3 linked regions of the Arabidopsis thaliana genome follow. The protein of the gene in region 1 interacts with the protein of each later gene in a pairwise test. Each region holds a gene or a part of one and is shown on either strand. Other genes may lie near its edges. The genes, in order: CID5, PAB2 and PAB5.

Region 1 (3,797 bases):
ACGGAGGATCAGGGCAACACTATGAGCGGAACCAGTCAAGAAACAGAGGATTTTAATATCTCTGTTGAGTGTTCTCTGTAATTGTAGTTTTTTGGTTTCCTAGTCTCTCTTTAGTTTTTCGTTTTCAAAAAATTTGTAGCCATCGTAGAATGCAAATGTTCGAAGAGTCCCAACTTTTCAAATAAAACATTTCAGAGTTTCCTCAAGAAAACGAAAATCAGTATTGCTCTGCTTTTAAAGACAAGTTTGATTGTGGAATCTTGCTAAAATGTCAAAATCTTGTTTGAACATCAAATTTAATCCGGAAATCAGCAAGTAATTTCTTCTATCTAGGTTTCACCATGAATCTAAAAGGATTATTGAAAATGAGGCTAACGAGAGTAAGATTTTTTGATGGGCCGCTCGGCTCAGAGTTCAAGCCTGCAGGAAAATTTGCTCTAAACGGATGAAGATTTCAGTTTATTTCGGTTTACAAGTTAATAATAAGGTTATAACTTATAAAGATTCTCCTTTGTCAAAGTTACTGGTACTAGTTTTAAAAGGATGATTACATATACACCATAATAAACATATCAATATCATATTATTCATAGGAAAATCCAATCCACAGATGGAGCTGCAAAATAAAAAAAGGGGTCAAAAAAGACCAGACTAATCTAATCTGCCCAAACAACACACCACTCAGATTTGAACTTCCAAAACTATACATTTTCCAACTACTCACATATCATCATTTCTCTTAGATACCATCAACTTCATTGATACAATACCCCCATTACTGTACTTATTATGGGTATGCAAACCAAAACAAAAGAAAAAGAAGAAGAAGCAAAACTTCACAACTAAAGGATTCATGAGATCAGGCCGATACAGGTGCATTAGGGATAACCGATGATGTGGATGCAGCGACTTCAGTAGATTTTGATGTTGAAGGCCCTGACTCAGAGATATCCCCAATATCAAGTGTCTCTGGCAGGTTTTCTTCAGATTCAGTGCTGTATATCTATATAGAAAAAGAGTGATCAAAATCATCACTTAAGATCATTACATCAAACAAAAAATAAACGTGAGTAATGAATATACCTCAAGCTGATTCAGCATCTCAATGGTTGCTTCAAGATCACCGCCATTAGCGAGGTAAACATCAGTGATAGACTCTTGTGAGAGACCAGAGAAAGTGACAAGAAGGTATTCAATATCCATGTCTATATCCATCTCCAAATCCAAATCATCATCCCTGATCTGCTTATAAGCCATTTCAGAGGATTTCTTCGGCATTGACACTTCAACCGTGGGGGACTTTGCTGCAAACACCAAACCATCATCACCGCCACCATAATCCACTCTTTTGGAGATTGGTACATACGATGCTGCATGTGGATTCAATGCAAATGCTCCTGGCTTCATTGCTTTGTCTTGCTGATAAAGTTACTGCTAAATTTAGAAGTTAATTAAGAGTCAGAGACAGAAAAGAAATACAAAACAATGATATATTGATTAGAACCAAACATGTCGTATGCAGCAAAATCTAACAATCTCAAATTTGGTCTAACGAGGTATGATGAAACAACCTTTAATGATTTCAACAAAAAAAAATAAAAAGGATATGAAGAGACCTAACTCCTAAGCCAACGTTTCGATGGCGTAACACAGAGTATATAAGGAATCTAAAGGAAATAAATTGAAGATATTAAAATAAAGAAATGTGGTTACATTAGAATCTGGCTCGCGTTGTTACTGCATGGAAAAATCGATGTCGGAAAATACAGAAAACAGGGCAAAAGTAAAAGATTCTTGACAAAGAAGAAATGATGCGAAGAAGAGTGGATTATATGCAAAACAAAATGAAAAGAAGGAATAATGTTTGTTGACCTTGTCAACGATCGACGTAAAAGGAGAAGAAGAAACGAAACATTAGGAGAGAAGAAAATGAGCTTACCAAACAAAAACTAGCGTTGAAGATCGCTCGAATAAATTGTAGAGACAGAGACCTAAATGATGCGATTAATGTGGCAAACCCATGTATTTATGGAATTATTATCGTATAGGTTAGTGTCCGTTTACATGAAGGACACCAAACATCACGATGGGGTTCGTTTGGATACCCGGTTATATTTATCTTTAACCGGGATACTAATATACGTGATTGAAATTAATTCGGTTTAATAAACCGATTGATAACCACCGGTTTAAAAAGTATCAAAACGAAGGAGTGAATGGATGAGAGCTAAAGGGAAGAAGCAAAGTGAAGAAGCTCCAGAACACGCCATAGCTATGGCTCTTCTCTGTCCTTCTCTTCCCTCTCCGAATTCTCGTCTTTTCAGGTTAATTATCTTTTGTGATGTTTCTTGTGTGCTCGAGCCAGTGGCTTTTTCTGTAAGATGTTTTTGTGATTTCGGATGAGATTGTGTTCAGGTGCAGGAGCAGCAATATTTCGAGCAAGTATCATGGAGCCTCAAAGGAGCTGATGATTGCTCGTTCTGGTGTGTCTACGAGATCAATTTCTTCGGAAAAGGGGCTTTCTCGTAGGGATTTAGTGCTCATTGGTCTCTCTTCTCCGTTGTCTATGTTCTTGCCATTGTCTTCTCCAGGTAATGCTTTGCTTCTATTGTTCGTCTTTTAATATCTTGTAGATTCAATTAGATAGTTTCACTTCTACTTAAAAATCTTGCCTTTCATTGGTTAGTAGAGAGAAAGGAAGAAAATTGAGAATCTCTTACAGTGTTTAGTCCATTAATAATCATCTACTTTTTTTGGTTATGTAACGTTTACAGTTTTGTTATTGCAGTCACTCATGCAGAAGAAGACGTGAAAATGAGTGGAGAAGAATTGAAAATGGGTACAATGGTGGATGATATTAATGCTTATTCTTATGCTTACCCATTGGATTATCCATCTGAGAAGCTTGTCTTCAAATGGTATTGACTGAATCCTTTTGATGTAATGCTTCCTTTTAGTTCAAGCTGTATCTCACTCTTTTACATTTTGGTTATGCAGGGTTGAATCAAGAAAGCCTGAAAGATACTCTTCAGCTGCACCACTCTCTCGTAAGTTCTATGCTTCCTTTTGATTTTCATGAATTCTGGATGCATTAACTTGTTACTGAATCTGTTTCAACTGGTCCAGCTGATGCACGTTTACGGATTGTTTCTGAACGAGTTGACCTAACTGACAACCTCGTCATTTCTATTTCGGTAAGTTTCTGGTGTTGCCCATTTAGCATAAGACTGCTTTGCTTCTCTTTGCTATCTTTCTCGTGATATGTCTTTTACGGTTTTTGATTCAGATAGGTCCCCCAAACTCAAGATTAACATCAAAAGAAAAGAAAACATGGTCCGCTAAAGAAGTTGCTGATTCTGTTTTGTCTGATAAATCAGCATTGGTAACCCTTCTAACATGAAACACATCACAGTTACCAATTCTCCTTTTCTTAAACATTAAACAGATTGTTTAAATGAGCAGCGTGTCACCTCAAGTCAGCGTCTTGAAGAGAGTTCGGTTCTTGATGCTCATGCTAGTGATGTGAGTATGATCTTCCACAACAAATCATATAACAACGTAAAAAAAATTGAATCTACAAAGCTCACAAGTCTCATATGCTTACTATATGTAGATTGATGGGGAGCCTTACTGGTACTACGAGTACCTTGTCCGCAAATCACCAACCAAAATTGTAATGCTCTCTAACTCTGAGCAGATTCTTCTTGTTTAAAGACATAAGGAGATTGATTTTGATAGGACTTACTGGCTTTGCTATATGTGGGCAGGCTGAAGCATCAAAGCTTTACAGACACTAT
Region 2 (6,246 bases), on another chromosome or scaffold:
AAAGTCCAATTTCGATTTAACAAGAAACCCTAATTTGAACCCTCTTTTGGTTTCAAGTGTTATTGGATTTTTATGTCGTGATTGTGAGATTGTTGAGTGTTGCCATCAGTTGAAATATCTAGAGATTTTGATAATAGTTAAACCTTTCATACACTCGAATCTTTTAAATATTTTCGAATTAGTTCACAAATATCATCAGACTCAATAAAAGATGTGTTGCTGGCTTTGCTGCATGTCAAATAGATACAAAAAAAAACAAGTAGACTATATAGTTCATGACGCAATGTACTGGAAATCAAAATTCATGTACGAATATTCTAAATCCTTGGCGTAGATGAAGACTTTCTTTTTTTTGGTAAGTAATTTCTCATTCTCAAATAGTTGCAGAAAAAGTAGTCCAAAAACCAGATCAATAACTGAAACCAAAAACAATGGTAAGATTTCAACCAAACAAGATGTGTATCATGTTTCCTTAGACCTCTACTAAGATTTCTATTCGACTAGTCCCAATCAATCTAGAAGCAAAGTGTATAAAAAGTTTAAAATGTATTTCTTTCTCATTCAAACATTGTCTGCTGAGAATGAGACCCATTCATCCATTTTTACCAGGACACCTTTTTACCATAAAATAGAGCTTGAAAAACTGGTAAAAAAAATGACTAGAAGCAACAACCACCAACAGTCAAAAGGCCAAAGAGGGGGATCACCAGCATTGGCCTTATTGGTAATCAAATTCATCTTCCGTGAACACTAGATCGAACAAGCTAGAACACGCAACTAAATCAAAAGAACAAAGCAGATAGGTTTTTCCTTTGTGGTTTAAAAACGAAGGTTTAAAATAACACAAACGCAGTTATGTGGAGGAATCCAAATTCCCAGGGAGAAAACGAATAGCAAAGAAACAACTCCAATTGTATGGGAGAGACAAAAGCCAAAGATCAAATGATAAAAAGCAATTTAAGAGAGGTTCAAGGAAGCGAGCTGCTCGGTTGCACCACCAGCAGCGACACTCCTGAGAACATCCATAGCCTCTGCAACTTTGGCCTTGAGAGCTTCTGGTGACTCCAACAGATGGAGCACTTCAGTCTGGTCCATCTCCAAAAGCATCCCAGTCACTTTGGCTGCAGACTCTGCCTCAACCTGCTCCACCAACGGGTACAGCACCTCACCCAGCATCTGTACAAACACACCCAAAGGGTCACATTATTATAATCCAAGCAAAACCAGTCTCTCTATTTGGTTTTTAAGAGATTCTCTCACCGTCCTCTGTTGCTCTGGAGTAGCATTAGACAGATTTGAAGCCAAAGCTCCAATAGTCAATGGCATGTTGTTGCCCATATCATATGGAGGCACATCACCACTACCACCACGCCCTTGGGGATACCGGAACATCCGACCCCTTGGATGCATCTAACCACCATCCAAACAGAAAAACCATACGATCAACTATTAAAAGAGAGCCAAGCAAGCAAAGCAGCCTTTATTGCAATTAAATAAGGAAAAGAGAAGAACCTGTTGCTGCATCATGGGATTTTGCTGCTGGGAGTGTTGGATTCCCCCAGGACGTCTTCCTCCTCCAGGACGCTGCTGCTGTGGCTGAACCATAGGCATGAAGAAACTGGGTACAGGACCCCCACCAGGTCTCATTCCAGGAACAAGCTGCTGTTGGTATCCATACCCAGGCTGTGGCATTGCATAAGTACAGGTTAATATTATCCCAGCAGTTTCAAAATAGATTTGGAAAGGCTCAAGTATGAGTATAGCAACTATAGAGCTAAAGAATTTAAAAACTTTTCATGTGACTTAAAAGCATCTGTCAGCTTGTAATTCATTATACCCAAGGTAGAAAATAAACATGTGCATATCTTTGTGTAAAATCGTACACGGCTACTTAAAGTAGAGTAACATGAAGATTACCTGGGGAGGAATCATGGCAGGAGGGGCCTGACCATAGAACATTTGTTGTCCAATACCAGGACCACCCGGGGGATACACTGGCATGCGGGGACCAACAGACGGCTGCATTGCAACTGGCCTCACTTGGGAAAACTGAGCCTATTCACATCAATGCAAATACTCAGCAGCAGGAGAAAAAAGAGATTTTTCTGTGATACAAAAATACTAGGACATATGTTGTTTATGCTTTATATATTGTTGCACTTGATTATAAAGAAGAATCAGCATCAGTATTGATAATTATACGCAGTGGGACATTCTAAGACTTGTACATGATGGGTCCAATTGTTTAGAGTTGAAACTCCAACAGGCAAAGTAGGAGTAGTAAGTGTATCACAAGACGAGGTGATTCCAAGAGAAGCAAACCTGTAGTCTGACCCTTCTGTCTTCCTTCCGCTGTGCAATAGCCACATAGAGTGGCTTGCTTTCGATCATTTTACCGCTCAACTGTGACATCTGTACAGTATTCCACTGTTACTAACAATCAAAGTCCTCATAAATACAATCAACAAGACGATACAACTGACTTACAGCTTCAGTTGCTTCTTCGGGAGTTGCGAAAGCAACAAAACCTGAGCCTTTGCTTGTTCCATTAGGATCCCGCATCACCTGTAATATTTAATAAAAGAACTTCTTAAATAATGAACTAGGAGAGTCAACTCACTACAAATAAAGAGAGAGAGAGAGGGACATTGAACCTTGCTAGATGTAACGGTACCAAAAGGAGAAAAGATCTCTTTAAGTTTCTCATCTGAAATGCTAGGATCCAAATTCTTAACATACAAGTTTGAACTTTGAAACTTGTCTGCAGCTTCCTTCAAATTCTGTTCATAACGGACCCTTAATTCTGTTTCCCTCTCTGACTTCTTCTGGGCTCTACCAACATACCACTCCTTATCATCAAATTTGTGCCCATTGAGAGACTCCACAGCCCTAGCAGCATCATCAGCATTTTCAAAGTTGACAAACCCAAAGCCCTTGGACTTCCCTTCTCCATCTTTCATCACGACAGCACTTGTTATCTTTCCATACTCGCCAAAAGCATTCTTCAAGTCATCATCGGTAGTACTTTCCGCGAGATTCTTCACATACACATTGGTGAATTTCGTTTTGTTAGCAGTGGAGTCTCTTTCTTGTCTCCTCAGGAAAGGACCCACATACACTTGCTTGTCATTGAGCAACATGCCGTTCAGTTTCTCTATAGCTTTCTGGGCAGATTCTTCATTGGCGTATTGCACAAACCCATAGCCTTTTGACTGGCCTGAAGAATCGACAGCTACCTTGCACGACACAATGTTTCCAAACGATGAAAAAGTATCATGCAGTGCTTTGTGGTCGATGGACTCGTCCAAATTCTGCATATTATAGCCAGGTTTAGCATCAGAAAGAGAGAAAGAACACCCAATAAAAAAACTTACATAACTAAAGAAATCAACTACTTTTGCCAGACTTTTCAATGAATAATACAAGATACAAATTTTTTCGCAACAATCATCTCGTCTTACAGCAACTCAAATGTCAGAAGGATAGAGACAAGCGTACCTTAATAAAAATGTTGCCAGCGCCACTTCGGCGAACACTAGGATCACGATGAGAATACATAACCCTAATAGGTTTTCCATAAAGAGGTATGTAATTCAGTTCTTGGATCGCTCTTGCAGCTGCAACAAAGACACGAGATAAAGTACCATTAGAAGACAGAAGTAGCATTAAAAAGATTGATTAAGCAGGGGATAAGCTTTCCAACAGCACCAACCACATTGCATACATACAAACACCATAAAGTATCAACATTTAAAACACACCTCATTCAAATCCAGTACTGGTACTATCGAGCAAACCCTAAAAATTGGAAATTGTAAGAAGAAGTCCAAATAAAATTAAGGAGACTAACCGTCTTGGGGATTGGTGAAGTTAACGTATCCATAGCCAAGAGATCGGCGAGTGACCAAATCCCTACAGACACGAACGGTGACCACAGTACCCATTTGGCCAAACGCATCGAAAAGCTGCGAGTCCGTCACATTGAAATCGAGATCCCCCACATAAAGCGACGTGTTACCAAACTGGGTCGCCGTTGCTCCACCTGACGTCGCCGGAGCAGAAGTGACCGCCGCGGTCGAACCATTCGGAGTCTGACCCTGAAGTTGAACCTGCGCCATTATCTTTTTTTGGATTTTCGAAACTTTTTTGACTTTTTTTGGGGTTTTAGTTACTCTTCCCTCCCCTCTCGTTATTAGACTGAAACCAAATCGAAAACCCTAGAATTTGAAAGAAGAAAAAGAAATCGAATCGAATGACAAAATCAACAAAACTAAAGCCAAAGTTTTTATCTTTTCGTTTTTTTTGTGTTTTTATGGGTATATCAGAGGAGAGGGAAGATGAAATAGGGTAAGAAATTGCCGGCGGCGAAGCCTGCGACGGCGAGTGAGATATTTGGGGGCCGAGAGATTCTAGGCGAAACAAGCACAATTACGATAGATGAAAAAGAAGCATTACGGTTTCTCCTTTTCTTTGCTTTTATATTATTAACCCAACAAAAAAAAGAAACCTTTAATTCCCCTAGAAGAACCCTAGGAGTGTGAGATTGATCTCAGCCGTTGGATCGAGTCTGAAGTAAATCGTAGGATTGATTTTAGAGTTGCTGGTGAATTGATAAGGTCGTCTTCCTTCTCGTCACTTTCGGAAAAGTCAAACAGATACGCGCGTGTTTGACACTTTCGAATCTAATTAGTAACCAAGTTTGTTAAAATTTTGTACAGTGATGATATTTTCTTTGATTTATCTTAACATTTCTTAACTCTGATTAGCAATATTCTCACTGGATCTTGATGAATTTTGATTTTCCTAAAGTAAAAGTTGTTAATATTAATATTTACCGCACGATTTTATATGGTATGCAAAAAGTATCTTAATTAAATAACCAATATGTTAAGATTTGACTTATCAAAACAATTCAACTTAATACACGATTGGCCTTCCAGTAGAATTGTGACACGAAAGAACATAAGATGAGAGATGAGATTTTGCAATACGCAATCATTTCAAAAAGCATTACAATAGAAAGTAGAAACACACAAGGCATATATATATACGAAGCGTCATTACTCATTTCTTAAGATCCTTTGGATATTATACACAAACAAAAGAGGATCAACGGGATACACATTGACTAGTAAATATTTCCAAGCCTAAGTTAATACGACTCAGTGCACAGTTTCTTTCTAAGCTTCTTGTTGGATTGCACGTCTGAGCCTTAAGTCCATTATCAACATCTCCCTAAAGTCCTATCAAGATACCATCTCCCGCATCCTCACTACTTTGGTTTTGCCAAAGCAGCTTCCCCAAAGTTATGGAGTCTCCGACCAATGAGATAACGGTCATCACGGATAGAGTTGTGAAGGTTTCTAAACCAGAAGCAGAAGAGGCTCACTGAGAGACAACCTATCCATGCGAATCTGTAGACCGCTGAGTTCACTACTAGCGGATATCCGAGCATTGGGAACACTCCTCTCGCCAACACATAAGGCACACATAAAGCCGTTAGGAGTTTCATCACAATCGGGAACACAATCTCTCTAAGTACCCATAACCCTTGAAGCATATGGGTCTGAGATGAACCTGATATGGACATCTATCTAATGGGGTTATAACATTCCTCTTATTTTTATTCTGTTGGAAAATAAAAAACCAAAAACAGTATCAACGAGTATGTCTACAATCACACATCGGCCAAATAGATCTTCAACGCCAATTCCTTAAGGCTTACATGCACTAACATAAGAGACAAAAGACAAGAATTTGCAGTAAGCGAAGGTATTCTAGAAGCATTATCATAGAAACACACAAGGCATATGGACAAACGAAGCATTATTCTAAAGATCTTTTAGTTTCGTACACAAAAACAAAAAAAAGAGAATCATCAACGGATATAATAATTTACACATCGACTAATAATAAATCTTTCAAAGCCATCTCTTAACGGCTTAAGTACACAAAATGTTAAACGCCTCAGTGCACAGTTTCTTTCTAAGCTTCTTGTTGGATTGCACGTCTGAGCCTAAGTCCATTATCAACATCTCCCTCTCGTCCTATCAAGACACCATCTCCTGCATCCTCACTACTTTGGTTTTGGTTTTGATTAGCTAAAGCAGCTTCCCCAAAGTTATGCAGTCTCCGACCAATGAGATAACGGTCATCACGGATAGAGTTGTGAAGGTTTCTAAACCAGACATGGCATCTTTTTGCACAGAAGCAGAAGAGGCTCACTGAAAGACAACCTATCCACGC
Region 3 (6,137 bases), on another chromosome or scaffold:
CCAAAGCTGAACAAAGAGTCTAATGCTGGTGGATCATCATCAAATACAGGAGGTGAGAATAAAGACAGTAATGAGATCTTCAAGCCTTCTTTCTCCAGACGCAGCATCAAAAAGCCGGATTTTCGATCCGGTAAGAGGAGTTCTGCTACATATGTTGGCCATATATCAGCGTTTAGTTCAAGTAAAGCCGTTGCGAATGTTGTTTATTAAAGGCCTGAATGGTTTTACTAAAACAATATTCTCCTATCCTTCAAATGTGTTGCAGATGAAGTAGTGACGAGGAAGAAGGATATGGAAGAGAGGAATCTAGAGTCAGAAAGAGTTACTAAGCCAGCTTCGAAATGGGACGCCTACTTAATCGATGACGAAGGAGAACACCAAGCACCACCGCGATTTGGTGTTAAAAAGGCCTTGAAGGATGACGAAGTAGGAGGATGGGACAGAGCAGTAATGGAGATAAATACGGAATATCAGATAGTAGACGACGAGGTACATCCAGATTTCATGTGATCAGAATGTTTAACCAGAATGCCGATTATTAGATAAAATGCTAAATGTAAAGTTTCTGAAACGAATTTGGAGTTGCAAAAGAGTTGACACATTAAATAGACTCCTAACGAAACTAGAGAAAGTGCTAAAGAGTAAAAGTCTCAATGCTAAGGGAAAAACTCAAAACAATCTATCAAAGAGATGTAGAAAAGAAAAAGCTAGTTTTAAAGGTCCTAAAAGGTATTAAAGCAACTGTCTAAGAAAGCGAGAGAAACATAGTCTTGAGTAAACAGTATGTTCACTCGGATGAGGATAGAGCAAACTGGTCATCAACAGATGACACAGCTGCTGGATCAGCAGAGCGTCTGAGAACATCCAGAGCCTCGGACACTTTAGCCTTAAGAGCTTCAGGTGACTCAAGAAGGTGCAAAATCTCAGCTTGATCCATCTCCAGCAACATCCCGGTAACTTTAGCAGCATTTGCTGGCTCCTGCTGCTCCACAAGTGGGTAAAGATGATCCCCAAGCATCTGTCATCAATTCACAATGCAATGATATTGTTAACAAATATAGGTTATAATGCAAGTACTAAATGAGATAAGAGAAGAAAACACAGGAGATCACTAACCCGTGGGTGTTTGTCGGGGCTAGCCAAAGCCAAATCAGATGCGAGCTTAGAAATGGTGAGGGGAGTTGGCTTGTGAGAGCGTTGCGGAGCATTGTGAGAGTTTGCAGATGCATTCAATGGCAAAGGGATGATGCCTTGTGGAGCAGATGCTTCCATTCCATTCCTCCTGTTGCCTGCGCCTCCCATGAATCTGCTTGCATTTTGCTGCAGCATCTGACAGTTCCAAGATAATAACAAGCCCCAACAAATTCATATTCGTATGATTGTGTTAAAGATAATAAACTTGCTAAAAGACATAAGAACTAATGATAAAAACTTTACTTGTTGTTGCTGAAACTGCTGCTGCATGTTATTAGCACCACGCCTGAACCCAACACGAGGGCCAGGCTGAGTTTGCCTTTGAAGAGGGAAAGGCATCATGAAGTTAGGCGGGCCTGCACCTGGACGCATCCCAGGCATGAACTGAACTTGGTACCCATACCCCATAGGCTGTGAAGGTACCAAACCTTGACCGTTATGGCCTATGAACATTGGATGGTGTGGTCCTGACATTGGCCCACCTGGTGGGTGATGATGGAACCCAGACATCGGTGATGGAACTGGTGACATTGTTCCAGGTGATCTGATTTGAGTAAATAGACTCTGAAACACGTGAAAACATCAAGACAGTTTAAGAACTCAGTGTCACAACACAACACAGTACAGAGTTTGATGTTCAAAGAGTGAGAGGGCTAAAAAGAACCTGAAGGTGAGCCTGTCTTTCTTCCTTACGTTGTGCCAAAGCAACGTAAAGAGGTTTCCTTCCTATCATCTTCCCATTCATTTCTTTCATCTGCGTAATCATCAACCCCAATGAACATTTTAGTACCAATTTTATAAAACATTTATGTATATGTAAAAAGATTGTCAATTCAGTTGAAACTTACAGCTAATAAAGCTTCTTCAGGATTGGAGTAAGCAACAAAACCAAAACCTCTGCTTAAACCTTGTGAATTCATCATAACCTAATTATGACCACAAACAAAACATTTTAATTCATTATATTGTGTGGTATAAACTTATGTATAAAGTTTAGAGATGTTTAGAATCAGAAACAAACCTTGCAGGAAGTCACATTCCCATACTCAGAGAACATCTCCTTGAGCTTCTCATCATTCACACTATCATCAAGGTTCTTCAAATACAGATTCGATCCTTGCAATTTCTCAAACCTGCTTATCCTCTCTTGCTCAAACTTCCTCCTCAATTCCTCTTCCCTATCAGACTTCTTCTGTGCCCTACCAACATACAACACATCCTCCCCAAGGCTGATACCGTTCATCTTTTCAACAGCAACTGCAGCAGCTTCAGGGCTCACAAAGTTGACAAACCCGAAAGACCTCGAGTTCCCACTCTGATCCTTCATCACAACCGCACTAGAAATATCTCCATATTTCCCAAAAGTCTTCTTAAGCTCATCATCAGTAATCTCCTTAGGAAGATTCTTAACATAAACGTTAGTGAAGCTCGGCACCGCACCACTCTCACTACGTGCCCTGTCTTGACGACGGACAAAATGGCCAACAAAGACTTGCTTATCATTAAGCAACATACCATTAAGCTTGTCAATAGCAGCCTGAGCGGTTTCCTCTTTCTCAAACTGGACAAAGCCATATCCTTTCGAACGTCCCACCACATCCATTGCAACCTTGCAAGAGAGAATCGTCCCGAAAGACGAGAAAGTTTCATACAAAGCTTTGTTATCAATCGATGCATCAAGGTTTTTGATGAAAACATTGCCTTTCCCACTCAATCTAGTGCTCGGATCACGATTAGAGAGCATGATCCTTATAGGCCTGTCTCTGATCGGAGCATAGTTGAGACTTTCCATCGCACGACTCGCTGATCCAATAAAAAAACACAAAACTTTAATTACAAAACAGCAAAACAAAACAAAACAAAACAGCAAAAAGAACAAAACCACAAAAGCAAACACATGAACAATATTATATTCCTGTCGTAATCCATAATAATAATATTAAATTCCTGTATGATTGTTTATAATATTTACCATCTTCAGGGTTAGCGAAATTGACGTAAGCGTAACCAAGAGAACGATGAGTCAGATCACGACAAACCCTAAGATTGTGAACTGGAGCAACTTGATTAAAGAGATCCAAGAGATGTGACTCATTGACACTCGGATCTAAATCTCCGACATAGAGAGACGAGTTTGGATGGGTTTGCAAAGCCTCCGCGGCAGCAGCAGCAGCAGCAACCGCCGCAACCTGACTCACGGCAGGGAAAGGAGGAGGAGCAGCAGCAGCAACCGTGGGTTGATTAGGGATCACTTGATCAACCATGGCCGTCGTCGGGGCAATTCCAGATGCAACCGCCGCAGCCATAGCGATAAGATTTCTAGGTTTTTCTAGGGTGAGACAGAGAGATTTCTGTTTGTGGTTTTCCAAAATTTTTAGGGGAGAATATTTATTTTTATATTTTTTCCTTTTTTTTTTTGGGTTACTCCGGTGAATAAGAAGAGGAGTAGAGAGACTCGAAAGGGTGTGAAAGAATGAGAGTTGGTATTTATACATTCGCTAACCAACCGGTCCCTACGGATCAGAGTTTGATTTGACGTGGCTTTTGAGTTTTGACTCAGCTTTTTAATTCACATCTGGGATCTTTTTGTGGGCCAATGGGCTTTTTCTGTCCTGGCCAATAATCCAATGCCACATGTTTTTTTTTTAATGATAATCAATTATATTATATTATAAAAATTTAAATTTATATGATATATAACCATCCAAATACAACAATCATTAAAACAAATAAAGAAAACTGAACACAATTTTGACGAAGAAGTAGAAGGGATCATGCGTTCTAAACGGAAGCCGCAACCGAATGAATCTGTTAAGTCTGCTCTTCATATACTCGCAAAAAACTACGACTAACGTCTTATAGATGAGATCTAGTGCCACATAGATATTTATGTTTTTTCTTAACATCTTATTACTCTACTTTTTTTTTTTTTTTTTCCGTCTACTTCTCCTTCTTAATTATTTTGTTGTTATCGTCATGTCTGTTTTTTTTGTTAAAAGAGGCTTTATTGGTTCATAATTTACACGAAATTTTGATGACTTTAATAATATCATAGAAAGTAAATAAATGAAAGATTATAAACTATTGCTAGAGAGTTTTTTATAATCTTGTTGATTTGTTTTTCACAATCTCGTAAAAAAATTTAAACAATCTCTCGATTTTGATGATACTTTCATGATTTTATTTTGTGAAGAAAAATGTAAAAAATCATAAACCATTAACAGAATAATTTAATTCATTAACAATCATAGATTATTTTGTTTTAATTGAATAACGCAAAATATTTAATAATTTTATAAAAATATAAATCAAATAACTTCAGATTTATGAAGATTTTATATTACTTTTTACAAATTCTAAACTAATAACATCTACAATAGTTTAGAATCTTTCATTTATTCACTTTCAATAATATTATTAAAATCATCAAAATTCTTAGTAAATTAGGAATTCCAGATAGTGTCAAGCAGGATGTTATCAGCAACGTCAACGCAGCCGCGATAAACTCAATTTTATACATTAAATCAATATCAACATATTTCCATAGAATTGTTTAAAACATGAGACAGATTTTTGGTATGCCACAAGGCTAATCTATAGAATTCATGGACAATATTTTGTGGATGAGACAATTTTGATCTTTAAAAAATTCCATCATCAATAAATACAACAGTTGAAATCTATTGAACAGAGATTGCTAAGTACTCGTGATTAATAGAGTAAAATGTCAGACTCTAGTCGACTAAATATTTTCTACCACCAAAAAGTAAGTTCGATATGGGTGATGTTGTCATTCATTTTAGATATTTCTGAAACACTATCTGACATATGTACGAAACTGAGCATGTCATGCGTTACAAGACTAAATTTTCATATTATCAGGGAGGAATGTAGAGATTAAATATGGACAGGCTTGTTGCCAAACTATTGGGTTTTAGAAAATAAGTATCAGTTTCCATCAAAATGGCAAAAACCAAATCGCATTACACATGGAAATGCATAAAACTATAAACTTCAACAAAATGCAAATGAAGAAAATGATTGCTCTCTCTTAGTTCTGAAAGCAAGCAATTTGGCGCCTCAAGGCGTATCAAAGACGAAGAGTCTTGCCAAGGAAGGGAACTTGTTGGGTTAAGGCAAGAGAACCTCTATATATATGGTCGATGAAAGACTACAAATTTCGACCACATTTTAAGCGAGACGAGTGTTAGGGTCTGCGAAACTACCAGCCATACTTCTTGAAGAAGTCCCTGGTTCTCTTTCTAGCTCGAGTGAAAACTATAACTATGCATGCGAGCACCCATGGAGGAAAGGTCCCAATGGAGATGTTGTTCTTGATCCAAGCTGGAGGGTCTTTCAATAGAAATGTTATTAAGAGCGTAACAATCACAACTCCGAGAATGATTCTGGTGATGGGTTTGAGCAGGGAATCCTGAAAACAAAAGGTGTTCAAATTAATAGTGTTATCAGATGAATCACCCAATTAAAGCTGCATGTTTTAATGCTTTTTTTTTCTGTTCTTGCAACAATATTATCCAAAGACTTTTTACGCCCCAACGAAGTCAGAATACCATGACATCCATTCTAGTTTCTACATGCGTATTCTAAATCTATGAGCCATAGGAGTGATTCCAAGAAATTGTTTACTTTAAGTAAGAATACAAGCTTTGACCTAAACCTAAGGTTCCATGAGACACCGAATCCACGTTAATTGATATTCCAGGGCAATTGAAGAGTAAAGAAGCCTAGAAAGTCTAGAGACATGTATGAGGTTTATGAGCACAATCAAAAGAAAACCATCAACTTATCTAAATGCAGAACGCCAATGTAGAGTAATTCTACAATCCAAGGGTATGAAGAACATGTAAAGGAGACAAGAAGCAGATTGGGTCCTATCCTATTCCTTAATCATGCGTTCAGAGAAGGTCCAACAGATGCAATGC

The links.
Region 2: the proteins of CID5 (region 1) and PAB2 interact in a two-hybrid assay, tested with the Arabidopsis thaliana proteins (one study listed by BioGRID).
Region 3: the proteins of CID5 (region 1) and PAB5 interact in a two-hybrid assay, tested with the Arabidopsis thaliana proteins (one study listed by BioGRID).

The regions. Positions count from the first base shown.
Region 1 is NC_003076.8:3,652,201-3,655,997, forward strand, and holds CID5 (CTC-interacting domain 5), read right to left. Parts: upstream 2,003-3,797; 5' UTR 1,940-2,002; exon of another isoform or gene 1,714-1,939; intron 1,432-1,713; 5' UTR 1,408-1,431; coding exon 1,084-1,407; intron 1,004-1,083; coding exon 860-1,003; 3' UTR 514-859; downstream 1-513. Other genes in the region: AT5G11430 (SPOC domain / Transcription elongation factor S-II protein), read left to right, coding at 1-56; PPD5 (PsbP domain protein (Mog1/PsbP/DUF1795-like photosystem II reaction center PsbP family protein)), read left to right, coding at 2,221-2,324, 2,416-2,591, 2,789-2,918, 2,998-3,047, 3,127-3,194, 3,287-3,382, 3,463-3,522, 3,614-3,673 and 1 more. UniProt on the Arabidopsis thaliana protein: Promotes polyploidy in dark-grown seedlings. Regulates the endocycle leading to hypocotyl elongation.
Region 2 is NC_003075.7:16,334,604-16,340,849, reverse strand, and holds PAB2 (poly(A) binding protein 2), read right to left. Parts: upstream 4,560-6,246; 5' UTR 4,119-4,559; coding exon 3,851-4,118; intron 3,618-3,850; coding exon 3,499-3,617; intron 3,312-3,498; coding exon 2,655-3,311; intron 2,566-2,654; coding exon 2,488-2,565; intron 2,413-2,487; coding exon 2,323-2,412; intron 2,056-2,322; coding exon 1,918-2,055; intron 1,684-1,917; coding exon 1,513-1,683; intron 1,411-1,512; coding exon 1,261-1,410; intron 1,177-1,260; coding exon 958-1,176; 3' UTR 536-957; downstream 1-535. Other genes in the region: CER9 (RING/U-box superfamily protein), read right to left, coding at 5,986-6,246. UniProt on the Arabidopsis thaliana protein: Binds the poly(A) tail of mRNA. Appears to be an important mediator of the multiple roles of the poly(A) tail in mRNA biogenesis, stability and translation. In the cytoplasm, affects both translation and mRNA decay.
Region 3 is NC_003070.9:26,989,990-26,996,126, forward strand, and holds PAB5 (poly(A)-binding protein 5), read right to left. Parts: upstream 4,271-6,137; 5' UTR 4,114-4,270; intron 3,619-4,113; 5' UTR 3,501-3,618; coding exon 3,167-3,500; intron 2,998-3,166; coding exon 2,216-2,997; intron 2,121-2,215; coding exon 2,043-2,120; intron 1,949-2,042; coding exon 1,859-1,948; intron 1,759-1,858; coding exon 1,438-1,758; intron 1,330-1,437; coding exon 1,117-1,329; intron 1,019-1,116; coding exon 788-1,018; 3' UTR 536-787; downstream 1-535. Other genes in the region: AT1G71760 (uncharacterized protein), read left to right, coding at 1-181, 266-510; AT1G71780 (WD repeat protein), read right to left, coding at 5,417-5,626. UniProt on the Arabidopsis thaliana protein: Binds the poly(A) tail of mRNA. Appears to be an important mediator of the multiple roles of the poly(A) tail in mRNA biogenesis, stability and translation.